Linked DNA regions of Caenorhabditis elegans. The protein of the gene in region 1 interacts with the protein of each later gene in a pairwise test. Each region holds a gene or a part of one and is shown in the gene's direction. Other genes may lie near its edges.

Region 1 (4,645 bases):
TCGAAAAAACTCACAATTGGATGGAGCTTGATTCGAGAATTTGGATCCGCAGCGGCAAAAATTCTATAATTATTCTTCCCTTTGCGTCTTGATAATAAATACGGTTTCAGGTTTTTCCAAAGAAAAATAATGCATCAAAATAGCTAGTGTGAAACTTACGCCCCACCGGATCCAAATTCCTGAATGAAGCTCCGCGACTTTTTGTACCAAATTCCAGAAGTGACAGTCGACCTTTAAACGTGCTCTTTATGTTTTTCGATGCTGATTCTTCTAGACTTTATCGAAGACTGAATAAATTAATTACTATAGTTTCATTCCCCACCTGGAAAATAACGGCAGTTTTCATGTTGAGGCTTTCCATGCGCCTTTAAACGACGATTCACCATTTCCCGAGTTAATAATAATCAGAACCTATCAGAGAAAATGTATTTTTTAGTCCCATGGTCCTGATATGGTGCTTTATGTGACGTGGCATTTTCCTTGACTCCGCCTCCTCGTATCAAATTCATTAATCAGTTATATGGGGGGACGGACACAGTCAGCAGGCCTTCCGAACAGGTTGACAAGGGATAGATATGTATGGGGACGGGAGGACTATTTGGTGAGAAGAGGGGACAATTCTCGTGATGATCACCTTATTTTATCTTTTCAATTTTCCCGCCATCGATTGTTCTAGAATCCCAGAGATTTGGCGAATATTTTAGTTTTTCTCCTGAAATTGATCGAACTATAATATGATATCTCTTCTTTCTTGATTTAATTTGTCATGCGTCAAGATTATTATTCAAATCAACAGTTAAACTATTGCTACTTAAAAAATGTTATTTTTTGAAAATGACTTTAAATACCTGAATCTTGAAAACAATGTTTATTAATTCAAACTAGTTCTGCAAAAATTTCAAAATACCATATCACAAGTCTAATAGAAAATCACATGCTATCTCCTAAGTTAGTGATAAATAAAACACTTTTATTGCCAATCTCTTTCTAACCAAATTATTTTAACTGTTTTCATTTTTATTCGTATTTAACTTCGATTCAGTTCTTTTATTATTTTTATACTAATCTTCGATATTTATATCTCAGTTCGTTACTAGAAAAACCTTAAAATTTAGAAAATCAATATGTTATTTCCTCTAATAGTCGTGCATCTCATCACCTAATTTGGACATCCGAATTCTCGGGTTTTACCAAAAAATTGTCAATTCACAAAATATTGATGATTTGTTTACCTTCAATTATTTAGGAAAACAGTTATTAAATGAAGACTAATCGAGAAAATACGGTCAGATAAGAATAGCCAAAATATTATTCAATTTTTTTATCCAACCAAGAGTTGAACCGACCATTGATTTTGAAAATTTGGTAACAGTTTAAGCCAAACAGGCAACTTGGAACTTGTGAGTAAACGAAATACTTTAAGCAGTGTAAGTATGTGAGCTTCAGGCGTACCTTCATGCCTAGCATCTCTCTAATACCTGCTTACCAATTCATATCAATTTTTAAACTTTGATTAATTATGGATCTCCCCATTTGCCAGACTGCCTTCTTGAATATATTTTCCCCTTTGCCTCTAGAATCCACCAACTAAATTGTTTTTAATTTTCAGGCGCAGCCTCATAACTCCCCCGCAATCACATATATTTTATTCACAATCATCCATAATTAATCACCACCATCAAATGCTTCGAGAATAATTAAAAAATGATTCTGAGGTTGCTCATTTTCACAGCGTTGGCTGTAACAACCGCCAATTCAAGTACGCGGCAACAGTCAACGTTTCATTCAATTCAAGGTGAGAAGGTTTTGTATTTAAAATCGATAAAAGTTCTATCAAGTTAAAAACAATTCTGTTTTTTTTTCTGGTTTCAGATAAATTTTTTTATTATTATTTCAAAAATCTGTAATTTTCTTATTGCCAGGGGTAGTACTCCAAATATTTATATTCTATAATTGTAAATTGTAAGTCCGAATTCTCTGCACCATTTTATGATTGAAAATAAAAAAAGTTGCATTCTCTAAATTCTTTTAGATTGTTAAAAACTTTCTATTAAAAAGGTTTCTGTTAAGTGACAATCTTTCTGAAAGATTTGGGCTTTTGTAAAATTGGTTTAAAAAATATTTACCGTTTTCTAAAATTATGAATGGCAGAGACTGAGTATTTGCCATTTTTTGACTGGAAATTAATATTATTTTGAAAAGTTTCAATAATTTCTTGACTGGCGTTCAAATAATTTATTTCCCGTAGTTTTTTTTGTTGAAATTTGGGCCCTGCCTCCAGACATTTCAAACTTGACCTCTCTACATATCACCAAAGATAGAAGCACAAATGTTCACAAAAAAGGTGCATAAAAAACAGGAAAAGCTCAAAAGGTGTTCAAGAGTGACCTATGTGGAGCATTGCTTCGTGAGGTTCGGCGCACTTTTGTCTGCACGAGAAGCATACTCGCGCACCTCATAGCACAAATAATGTCTCTCTCTCTCTCAATTGGAATAGAGAAAAGTCTCAGAGTTAGAACAACAAACCAACAAAAGTGAACAAATATATGATAATATTCGACAAAGGAATATACACTATTAAAAACATTAATTGTTCCAAGAATTTCGAGGTTTTCATGATCTTTTCACATCTTATTTTAAAGATGGAATAGCGCCACTAGGGAAAATATTTAAAAGAATTCACAATGGTTTTTGGCAAATCAGGTCTTTTTCAAAATTTACCAGCAACATTAAAAATTATTTCCAATTCATTCAAATATTTTCCTTTTTTCTACTTTTTGTTTTGTTTCAAACAAAATTTGTCATCATATTTTTCCTCGCCTCCGAAGTTTTCAAGCGGTGTAAATTAAAGTGTGATTAGTATTTGTTTGTTGATGTGGTTACTGAATGATACAAGTTTTTTTGACCATCGTTTTTCAAACAATCATTCCAAAAAAAGTGACAAAAAAGGGAGGAAAACTGGCTTCAACCCCATAGATGACCACTACACCGTGTCAAACATTTGATTTAGTTTTAGACAGCTTTTGGTCTGCCCTTGTGATGTTTAATCTTAAGTTACAATGTCAAAAGGATAGAAAGATCGGATAGTAGGGTTTCCAGTCGTTGTTCCAGGAGTGCGCGGAAATTAAAATTATTTTGCAATTTTTCTTCCTCGTTAAAATAATTTGGAAACTGTAAAGCAAAGATTTTGAAAAATGATTCAGAAAAATCAACAAAAAGTATTTATTTTTTATGTAGAGATTTCGTTCATCTCTTTGAATTTTTAAATGTCAATAGGCTTGGTATATCACAGAACAGTTAAGTACCGTAACTTTTGGAATATTTCAGAGCTTTTTAGAAATCAATGTGATGAACAATATTTTCTGCCAAAAATGTTTAACATTTAAACGAAAACATGCAACCCCAAAAAAATGGAACAATACAAATTGACAGTAGGCTGAAAGCAATCTAAAATTTTTGCAGTTGACTCACCGCCATCAGTTCGTTCTCGAATAATATCTGCATCAGTAAACACAGCTTCATCAGTATGCAACGAGAATGACTTTAGATGTAACGATGGAAAATGTATACGTACCGAATGGAAATGTGATGGATCTGGTGATTGTTCAGATGGCGAGGATGAAAAAGATTGCCGTAAGTTTGAATATAAAAATGTTCCCAAATCTTTTGGTCTGTTTCAAAAATTCATTTCTACGAGACTAATTGCGACAATTTTTTTGCGAAAATAATAAAAGTTGTTAAATTCTCGAACCCACTCCTCAATTTTCAGCACATCCTGGCTGTAAATCTGATCAATGGCAATGTGATACCTACACATGGCACAGTGTCTCATGTATTGCCGAATATCAAAGATGTGATAACATCACTGATTGTGCAGATGGATCAGATGAAAAGGATTGTCGTGAGTTTTTTGCTTTAATGTTCAAATTGAGAAGGCTTATTTATAATAATCTGAATTAAAATTTTCAGCTGCTTCAACTGTGGACTGCAGTTCCCAAAATGTATTTATGTGTGCTGATGGGAGACAATGTTTTGATGTGTCGAAGAAATGTGATGGAAAATATGATTGTAGAGATTTAAGTGATGAAAAGGTAATTTTCAACTTAAATTAGTTATTTTTTTAGTTATTCTTAATTATTTTCTCAGGATTCTTGTTCCCGAAATCACACAGCCTGCTTCCAATATCAATTCCGTTGTGCTGATAAGACTCAATGCATTCAGAAATCATGGGTTTGTGATGGATCGAAAGATTGTGCTGATGGATCTGACGAACCTGACACTTGTGGTACATACCTGAAAATTAGAAGTTTCTTTCTGAAAATATGATATTTCAGAATTCAAAAAGTGTACGGCCAATGAATTCCAATGCAAGAATAAACGTTGTCAACCTCGAAAATTCCGTTGTGATTACTATGATGATTGTGGTGATAACTCGGATGAAGATGAATGTGGAGAATACAGATGTCCACCTGGAAAATGGAATTGTCCTGGTACTGGGCATTGTATTGATCAATTGAAACTTTGTGATGGATCAAAGGATTGTGCTGATGGAGCTGATGAGCAACAGTGTTGTAAGTTTTTCAATTTAAATAAAATGAAGTAGGTAGGCTTGAAGTAGGCACTACGCAGGCATGTAGGCAGGCAT
Region 2 (7,999 bases), on another chromosome or scaffold:
CAATTTCTTCGCGGCGATCCACATCACAAAATTCGAATACTGACAAGACCGACGATGAGCTGACTGAAGAAGAGAAAGCTGTCAGAGCCAAGATTATGAATACCGTTAAATCCGATCTTCTAGAAATGTCTAGTGGTGAGCTCTCCCAAAAGGAATTGGTTGACTCTATCACCGATTATGTTGGAAAAGAAAAATACGGTTCGCCGTCATTGACAGTAGTCTATGAGATGATTATCCGAGCTGTGATCGAAAAAGGTTTGAAGGATGATGATCGAAAGAAGTTGGCTATTGCTCTGCGGATGTCATTGGTCAGCAAGACTGAGAAGCAAGCTTTTATAGAGGGGTAAGGCAAGAGTTTATGATTTATTGAGCTTTACAAATTATTTCAGAGCTACCCGTTTCTGCAAATTCGCTAATGATGTTGAGCTCCAGCAAGATTATCCCAAATTGTGGACCGTTACTGGTGAAGTTCTCGTGAACACAAGTCATGCTCCACATGACGAAATTGGAGAAGTTGAATCTTTCTCATTAGCGGACATGAAGCCAATTTTCTCAGCTGCCAAAGGAGAAGGAAATAAGAAATTTGACCTTCTTGTTCAAGTTTTGAAGCAATTGGTGAGTTATTGCAAATTTTAGTGCTCAGATTCAGTACATTGCGTTTATTTTTTTAATTTAATTTTTTTCAGATCGAGCTTGAGCTTGAAGTGACTGGCGCTGCAGAAGGAATCTCGTGGGAGTTTTCGGACATGAAGTTAAAGACTGAGATGGAAGAAGGACTTTCAGCAGAAATGGAAGCAGTGACGTTTAAAAATGGAAAAACGTTGTCGAGCTATTTGACGGGCAACTAATTTATCGTATTTTTGGATTTTCAAACTCCACAGTAGATTTATAGAGAACTTTTTTGTGTGCTAAAACCCATTTTAATTATCTATATAAGAACGAGTTGTTGATAATACGGTCTAAACATGTCAAGTTTTTCGTTTTTTCGCCGCGCGTCCATCCCTACCGATTTTATGTCTTATTGGGTATCCCATTAATGGTTTTCGATATTATTGCTTGTTTTTCTTTTGTTAGAGGTTTGCAAGAAAAGTTTCAAAATGAATAACTGATTATCATGATTTAGCTGAAGTAAATCAATTTTCAGACATTCAGATCATTTTTCCTGCAAACTTCCGCTCATTCTACAACTCGTCTCGAAACGTGAAGATTCTCTTCATTTTTCGTTTCGAGACGCAGAAATCAACTCGTTATAGCCCCTTTCCCACCCACCTTACCCTTTTCTTCTGATGATCACTAAAAATATCACGTTTTCCTCCAAATCATTAAATATTTATATCCTCATTTGGATTCCCGTTTCGTTTATTTGCTCCCAGTTCCCATTTCTTTCATTCGTTTTTCTATTTGAATAACCCTTTCATAGTCTCCTTGTTTATTGTTTCTAAATTAGCTGTTGGTTTTTTATTGGTTTCTCCCTTCATATTTCCATACCAGTTGGTCCCGAGAACATTTCTTGCTATGCTTGTTTTCGTGCTTAAAGGGTCTTTTCTAAGAGACGGTCGAAAAGTCGCTGAATTTTTTCGGAGTGCTGGAATTTCGTTGAATTGCATCGAATTTATCGTAAAACGAAGACTTTTGACTAGCTCTTAGCTTCATTTCTTTTCCAAATTTCCTAATTGTGTGTAAGTCAGTGCCTTCGGTCTGATTCCTGGATCTTCTAGAAATTGTGACAATTGGTTAATTTTAATATCCTCTCATCAGCCCATCTTAAATTTTCCACTTCCTTGAATTCTACGTTTTTCCTGTTTTAACTAATTGTCCTTCCGTTATTATCATCATCACCACCTCCACCACAAATAAAAATGGGCATCAAAATTGTTTTTTTTTTTTTTCATCATAGTTCTTGTTGGGGTTGTTCCCCATTTATATAGCTTGCTCTGTTTTCTCATCAAATGCTCACAGTTTTACGTTGACTCGATTTTGAATAAATATTTAGGAAATCGTGTCACTGGCGAATGTAAATGAAATCTAATATGAGAAGGAATAATATAAACAGTAATCGAGAGAATTTCGCCGTTTCGCAGGTTTGTTTGAATTTATTTAAAATTTAGACCTATAAAATTAAATAGTTTTTGAAAAAATTTGCTACAGTAACCTTTGATCTACCCGCGCAAATCTCAATTCTTTTTTCGTTAGAAACTTCATTCATCTTTCCTTGAGACAGGTTTTCAATTTTTGTCATTTTTCTTTACATTATAAAATTTTAAACTTTATTCTCGATCTGCGTAGTAATGGTGATGCTTGTCGAGGTTTGCGACAATGAATAGAAGAATAGGCAACTGATTTCTTTCAATTTTATTCGCTTCTCTCTCTCGTCTTCGCCTCAAAACTATTCTCTCAGTCTAAGACAAAAAACTGGTCTGGACACAGTGACTGTATGCAGAGTGTTTTTAACCCTTTTCTACCTCTCGTGTGCGCGCACGCTCACATACACACGCGGAGGATGTCCGTGAAGAAAAGAAAAGTAGAAGAGGATGAGAGACGTAGACATGTCCAGCATGCAGCATTAGTAGGGGTCCCTCTTCAGTCGATATTTGTCTCAATTTGAGTGGAGGCAAAGGAAAGCCGGCTTTTTTGGTGATCTGATCCTGTCAGTTTTATTTATGCATGATAAAATTAGTGGTTTCTGAGGCGTCCTTTTTTAAGAAAACTCGAATATCTTAATTATAAAATTATAAAATATCATTCAATATCCCTAGTAATGAAATTTTCTACCTTTTTATCTGAGTTTTTAGACGAAACGATGCGGGTTTTAAAAGAGTTTTGGAGATAAATACATTCTGTTTCCAAAAAAATTAACGCTTCGTACTGAACCATATTGTTGACATGGTGCATAGTGACATGGTTTCCCGTTTCAATAGAGCTTAGTATAGTAGTAGTTAATTAATCTACATCTTCTCTGTATGCTTTGTAGTAAATAAACATTATTTTACTTTCTATTTTAGAGAACTACCATTGGTACTCACAAGTTTCGTTTTCTTGTCTCTATTATTTAGTTTCCATGATCTTCACAATTTTGGTTTGAAACCATTGTCCATGTTTTTTTTTCTGCGCAGTTTCGGGTAATTATCCTGTCCCGCCGTTCGTCCCCACCCAATCCTCCCGTCAACACCAAAAAGCGTTCGTTCCGCTTCAATTACTTGAATCGATAGATGTTATTCGTCAATCCTCGTGGTCTCGGCACGAAAAGTCCCTCGCTTTATTCACCGTCCCTCCCACTCATGCTTTTGTTTAGATGAGTCACTATTGTTTCTTTCCGCCTACTACTACTGACTCGGCTGCAATTTTGACCTCAACTCCAATTACTTACGTGTTCGATCGATTTGGTTAGTGTGTCCTTCAGATGGTATTGTTGTGTGTTGAAGAAGTATAACACATTTCTTATTTCGCATCTTTTATTGTGTGTTCATATTGGAATTATAATCCCTTCGTAGTACGGTCTCTTTCCAATAATTGTTTTGATGCTTTTGAGAATTTTGGGTGTTTCTCTTCTCGATTTTTTGTTTTCAATAACAACAACAAAAAGAAATAAAATTCATTTTTTCGAAGTTACTTTTTGTGTTTTCAACGGTCACCTTCAATTTCCGCTCCGAAAAAGAACCTGATTTTCATAAAACGTCCGCCGCCGCTTCGTCGTCGTCATCAACAGAATTTTATCATCGCATCAGACTTGAATAGAAGCGAAAACGAAAAAAAAGACATCATTATATTAATAGTAATTTTCTAATGATGGCCATGATCACAAGTGTGTTGAGATTTCTCCGATTAGTAGATGTAGGAGACGTTGATGATGATGGTGCTGACGAAGTATTCAGTTAGATGAACGTTATTCTGCTTCTTTTCATTCTCATTCTTGACGCCTGCTTGTTTTCCGTTTCTCCGGTTTTTGGTTTGCCTCATTTGAATATATGCTACAGTACTCGACATGAGTGTAAATACTTAGGTTTCCGTATCTGACAGCTAAGCTTATTACGATTCCCGACGGATTTGACATTAATAGACCTAGCTGCATTAATGTTGTTCCTTTATTTTTGTCCTTATAATAATGCTGAATAAGAATGATATTTTAATTATTTTTGAACCGAACAAAAAATTTGCGTAATGTGCAGTACCCTAAAACGATTTCAAATTATCCCTATCGATTTGAAAGTTTTTGAAATATTTTGGTAAATTACGCTGGTTAGGATATAATTATTATGTTGCTATTCACTGTTTCCCAAGTTTTCAATTCGATACTAACCCATATAAAAGAGAAACAAGATTTTTCTTGCCTTCGTGTCTAACATCTTCTTCCAATATTTCGATTTTCTTGCCCATTTTCCCATCCACTGTCCAGGTGACGCATTAATTCAACGCAGCAAAATGTGAAATCAAGATGTTACGTAACGGGGGATCCTAGCCTAGGAATCATCAAGATCAGAGAGGTAAAAGGACATCAGATAGAGGCAGATAAATTCACAAGAGACTGACTGCAGCTGTCTTTCTTTTACGTCATGTTTGCAAAATGACTGGCGGCATCCCCGAAGGTGTGTGTGTCCTGTAAATCTAGTAGTCAAGCACACATTGAGTTTTGGAGGAAAAGGAGGAGTGTTCCGGCGAGTTTCCGCGCGGAAGAAGAGAGTGTGAGAGCAACTTGATCGTCTGGTTGCTGAGCAAAGCTACGCACACCTTTTGGCCATGTTTCCGTCGTTCTGGCTATTGTTCCATATTTGTATTGATTTTCCCTATTTGGTTTAGTCATGAAATGTTTCTCTGCAAAACTTGACGACATTACCTGATTGTTGGTCAACAAATCTTCTTTATTTTTGTCGTTTTTGTTACACATAAGAGTTTTGGGATCGCCCAAACGATTTCCGATAGTTTTATGGCTGATTTCTCTTGATTTCGTAATAATTCAGATCCTCACAGTTGTCGTATTCTCCAGTCAACACAGTAGTGACTCACTTCGGTTTGGATGACTAACAATGTCAATCTGTTTTCGTTTTCTTTCTTCTACTGTGATTTAGTGTTCTATTATGCATTGACTATTACAATAATTAAGTTACAGTCCTGATCTCGATTTTATGAAACTAACTACATCACACACTACGTACTCCCATTCCTGTCAAGATTGTAATCAGCTGATGTAAAAGAATGTCCCCTGACCGCAAAATAAATGAAGAACAGTCTATTTTTCTTAGTTCAAGGTTGACTGTAATAAAATAAAAAAGATTGAATTGAATATTTGTAAAAAATCAATTTCTCGGCTTCATAGAATTTTTCGCCAGATCTTACGCGCTCGGTCTCGCCACGCGGACAACGGGTTACTGTAACTCGTATCAACTTTAGATTACGTCTACGTAATGATCTCGCGTTTTTTGAAATATTATTCTGAATCATGTCATAAATTAATTAGAATATATCGTCGCTCAAATTGGAAAGGTGTGTCTTCAAAATATTTGTCAGTATGAAATAACTTTATTTACCTAAGAATTATTTTCAAGATTGCATAGTGCTTTTGAAAAGTATTGCTATTTGAATCCGACATTTTTTCTTATTTCCATTTCGAAAGTAATAACAAGTACATATCCAGTGTCAACTTGTCACCTTGAAGTATGAAAAATGACTACTGCACTTTTTCACGGTCGTCTTCATTTTTTTGTATTCTTTTATTCCGATATGGAGATGAAAACCGGTCGATCATGTGCCCCCAAGGGGGCTGATCATGATTTCACCCTCCTTTCACACTCTATCCCCCACCACCACCTCACAATTCTTTTTGGTCTCACTTTCGTTCCAAAAAGCTTTGTTATACTCTTAGTTTTCTTTTACTGTAATTTTTAAATTCTATTTTTTTTTCGTTGTAATAAATCTTATTTCTAAAGGTTCTCTCGAAACAATGGCTCAAAAGTCGGATATATCAGTGGAAACGGCAAATGCAACATCTGGAAAACCAAATCCACCATCACCAAAGTCCCGACTTGCAATGCTGAAGAGAACCAAGAAAGGTGAGAACATAGCTGAGTTCCGAAAAAATGATTTCTCAATTTTTGAGAGTATCCAATTGTGAATGTAGAGATATCAATTTGATAATTTAACGAGAAGATAGCCTTTTTGCCAATTTTCAACAGATAGATAATGTTATCTTTTTGTTATCTATAACATTTTCAGGAAAGAGTTCAAAGTTTATTGGTTCACTCTTTCTTTTCCCCCAAAAACTTGTGACAATGATCTGCCAAGCAGAAAGTTTGCTCCTTTCTTCTCTGCGTCTCACTTCGTTTTCTTATCTCTTTACGCTCTCTAGCGCCCGCTCTATGTGATTTCTATATCGATTTCTAACGAGTGTTTGTATACTTTTAAACTCATTAATAGATTTTGCAAATTTCATTTTAAGTGAATACCTAATTATCATGAAAAAGACGCAATTAGGGCGTTCGTTTTCCAAATCATTCAAGCAGAAAAAGGCGCGGGGTATGATTTACTCTATAATTATCAATCTAAAATTTAAACTTTTTAGCATCAAATGCATCATCGGATCCGTTTCGCTTTCAAAACAATGGAATTTCCTACAAGGTGAGTTTTTTTTAATGATTCATGTAGTAGTTTTTGTAAAATTGTTATTTCAGGGAAAGCTGATCGGAGAACAAGATGTGGACAAGGCTCGAGGAGATGCAATGTGTGCTGAAGCAATGCGAACTGCCAAGAGTATTATCAAGGCTGCTGGAGCTCACAAAACACGTATTACTCTTCAAATCAACATTGATGGAATCAAAGTTCTTGATGAAAAGAGCGGCGCTGTTCTTCATAATTTCCCAGTATCAAGAATCTCTTTCATCGCTCGTGATTCTTCTGATGCTCGAGCTTTTGGACTTGTTTACGGTGAACCTGGAGGCAAGTACAAGTTCTATGGAATCAAAACAGCACAGGCAGCTGATCAAGCAGTTCTTGCTATCAGAGACATGTTCCAAGTTGTTTTTGAAATGAAGAAAAAACAGATTGAGCAAGTTAAGCAACAACAGATTCAAGATGGTGGAGCTGAAATTAGTGTGAGTTTTTAGAATAATTCCAAAGATCCAATGCATTTTTAAATTATAAAAGTCCATTGTTATGACTTTATAAAAGTTCCAGAGCAAGAAGGAAGGTGGAGTCGCCGTCGCTGATCTTCTCGACTTGGAATCCGAACTTCAGCAAATTGAACGAGGAGTTCAACAACTTTCAACTGTCCCGACAAACTGTGATGCCTTCGGAGCATCACCATTTGGAGATCCTTTCGTAGACAGCTTCAACAGTACAGCCACGTCAAATGGAACTGCAAATATGTCTGGAACTCAAGTGCCATTTGGAGGACTTCAACTTCCACAAGTTCAACAAATGCAGATGCCAATGGTTCAAATTCCTCAACAATCTCATCAGAATTGGCCAACATCCGGAGCTGGATCATTTGACGCTTGGGGACAACAACAACAGCAGCAACAAATGCACCATGCTCATAGTACACCTGCTTTCGGAACAAACGGATTCTCGGATACTAATCCATTTGCGTCGGCTTTCAATACTCAAGCTCCGCCACCACCACTTCCAACTGTTGCTCCAACACAATACCGTGATCCATTCTCTGTACATTCCTCTGCTATTCCAAATTCAAATATTGATTGGACTGGAACTGGGACTACGAAAGAGAATATGGCACCATCTACTAATATCCAACAACAGCAGTCATCATTGCATCACGCCAGCACTTTTGCCAACTTTGGAGATAATAAGTGAGTGATATTCTAAAACCTAAATTAATAATAATCAAAAACAAGATTCAGGGCCGAAACCTGGAGTGAAAAGAAGGTGACGTCGCTTGAAGAAGCTTTCACGAAATTGGTTGATATGGACGCATTGGTTGGTGGACAGGGTATCAAGGAGACAAAAAAGAATCCATTTGAGCATATCTTAAACCCACCAAAGGTACAAT

What was found. Proteins that work in one complex are often made in the same cells at the same time.
Region 2: the proteins of lrp-1 (region 1) and dab-1 interact in a two-hybrid assay, tested with the Caenorhabditis elegans proteins (one study listed by BioGRID).

What each region holds. Positions count from the first base shown.
Region 1 is NC_003279.8:7,612,567-7,617,211, forward strand, and holds the start of lrp-1 (Low-density lipoprotein receptor-related protein), read left to right. Parts: upstream 1-1,609; 5' UTR 1,610-1,704; coding exon 1,705-1,795; intron 1,796-3,462; coding exon 3,463-3,633; intron 3,634-3,769; coding exon 3,770-3,901; intron 3,902-3,969; coding exon 3,970-4,091; intron 4,092-4,146; coding exon 4,147-4,285; intron 4,286-4,334; coding exon 4,335-4,571; intron 4,572-4,645.
Region 2 is NC_003280.10:8,220,395-8,228,393, forward strand, and holds the start of dab-1 (PID domain-containing protein), read left to right. Parts: upstream 1-1,993; 5' UTR 1,994-2,081; intron 2,082-5,921; 5' UTR 5,922-5,935; coding exon 5,936-6,044; intron 6,045-6,325; exon of another isoform or gene 6,326-6,446; coding exon of another isoform or gene 6,447-6,507; intron 6,508-6,553; coding exon 6,554-6,609; intron 6,610-6,662; coding exon 6,663-7,082; intron 7,083-7,158; coding exon 7,159-7,799; intron 7,800-7,844; coding exon 7,845-7,992; intron 7,993-7,999. Other genes in the region: ifg-1 (MIF4G domain-containing protein), read left to right, coding at 1-343, 390-615, 687-848.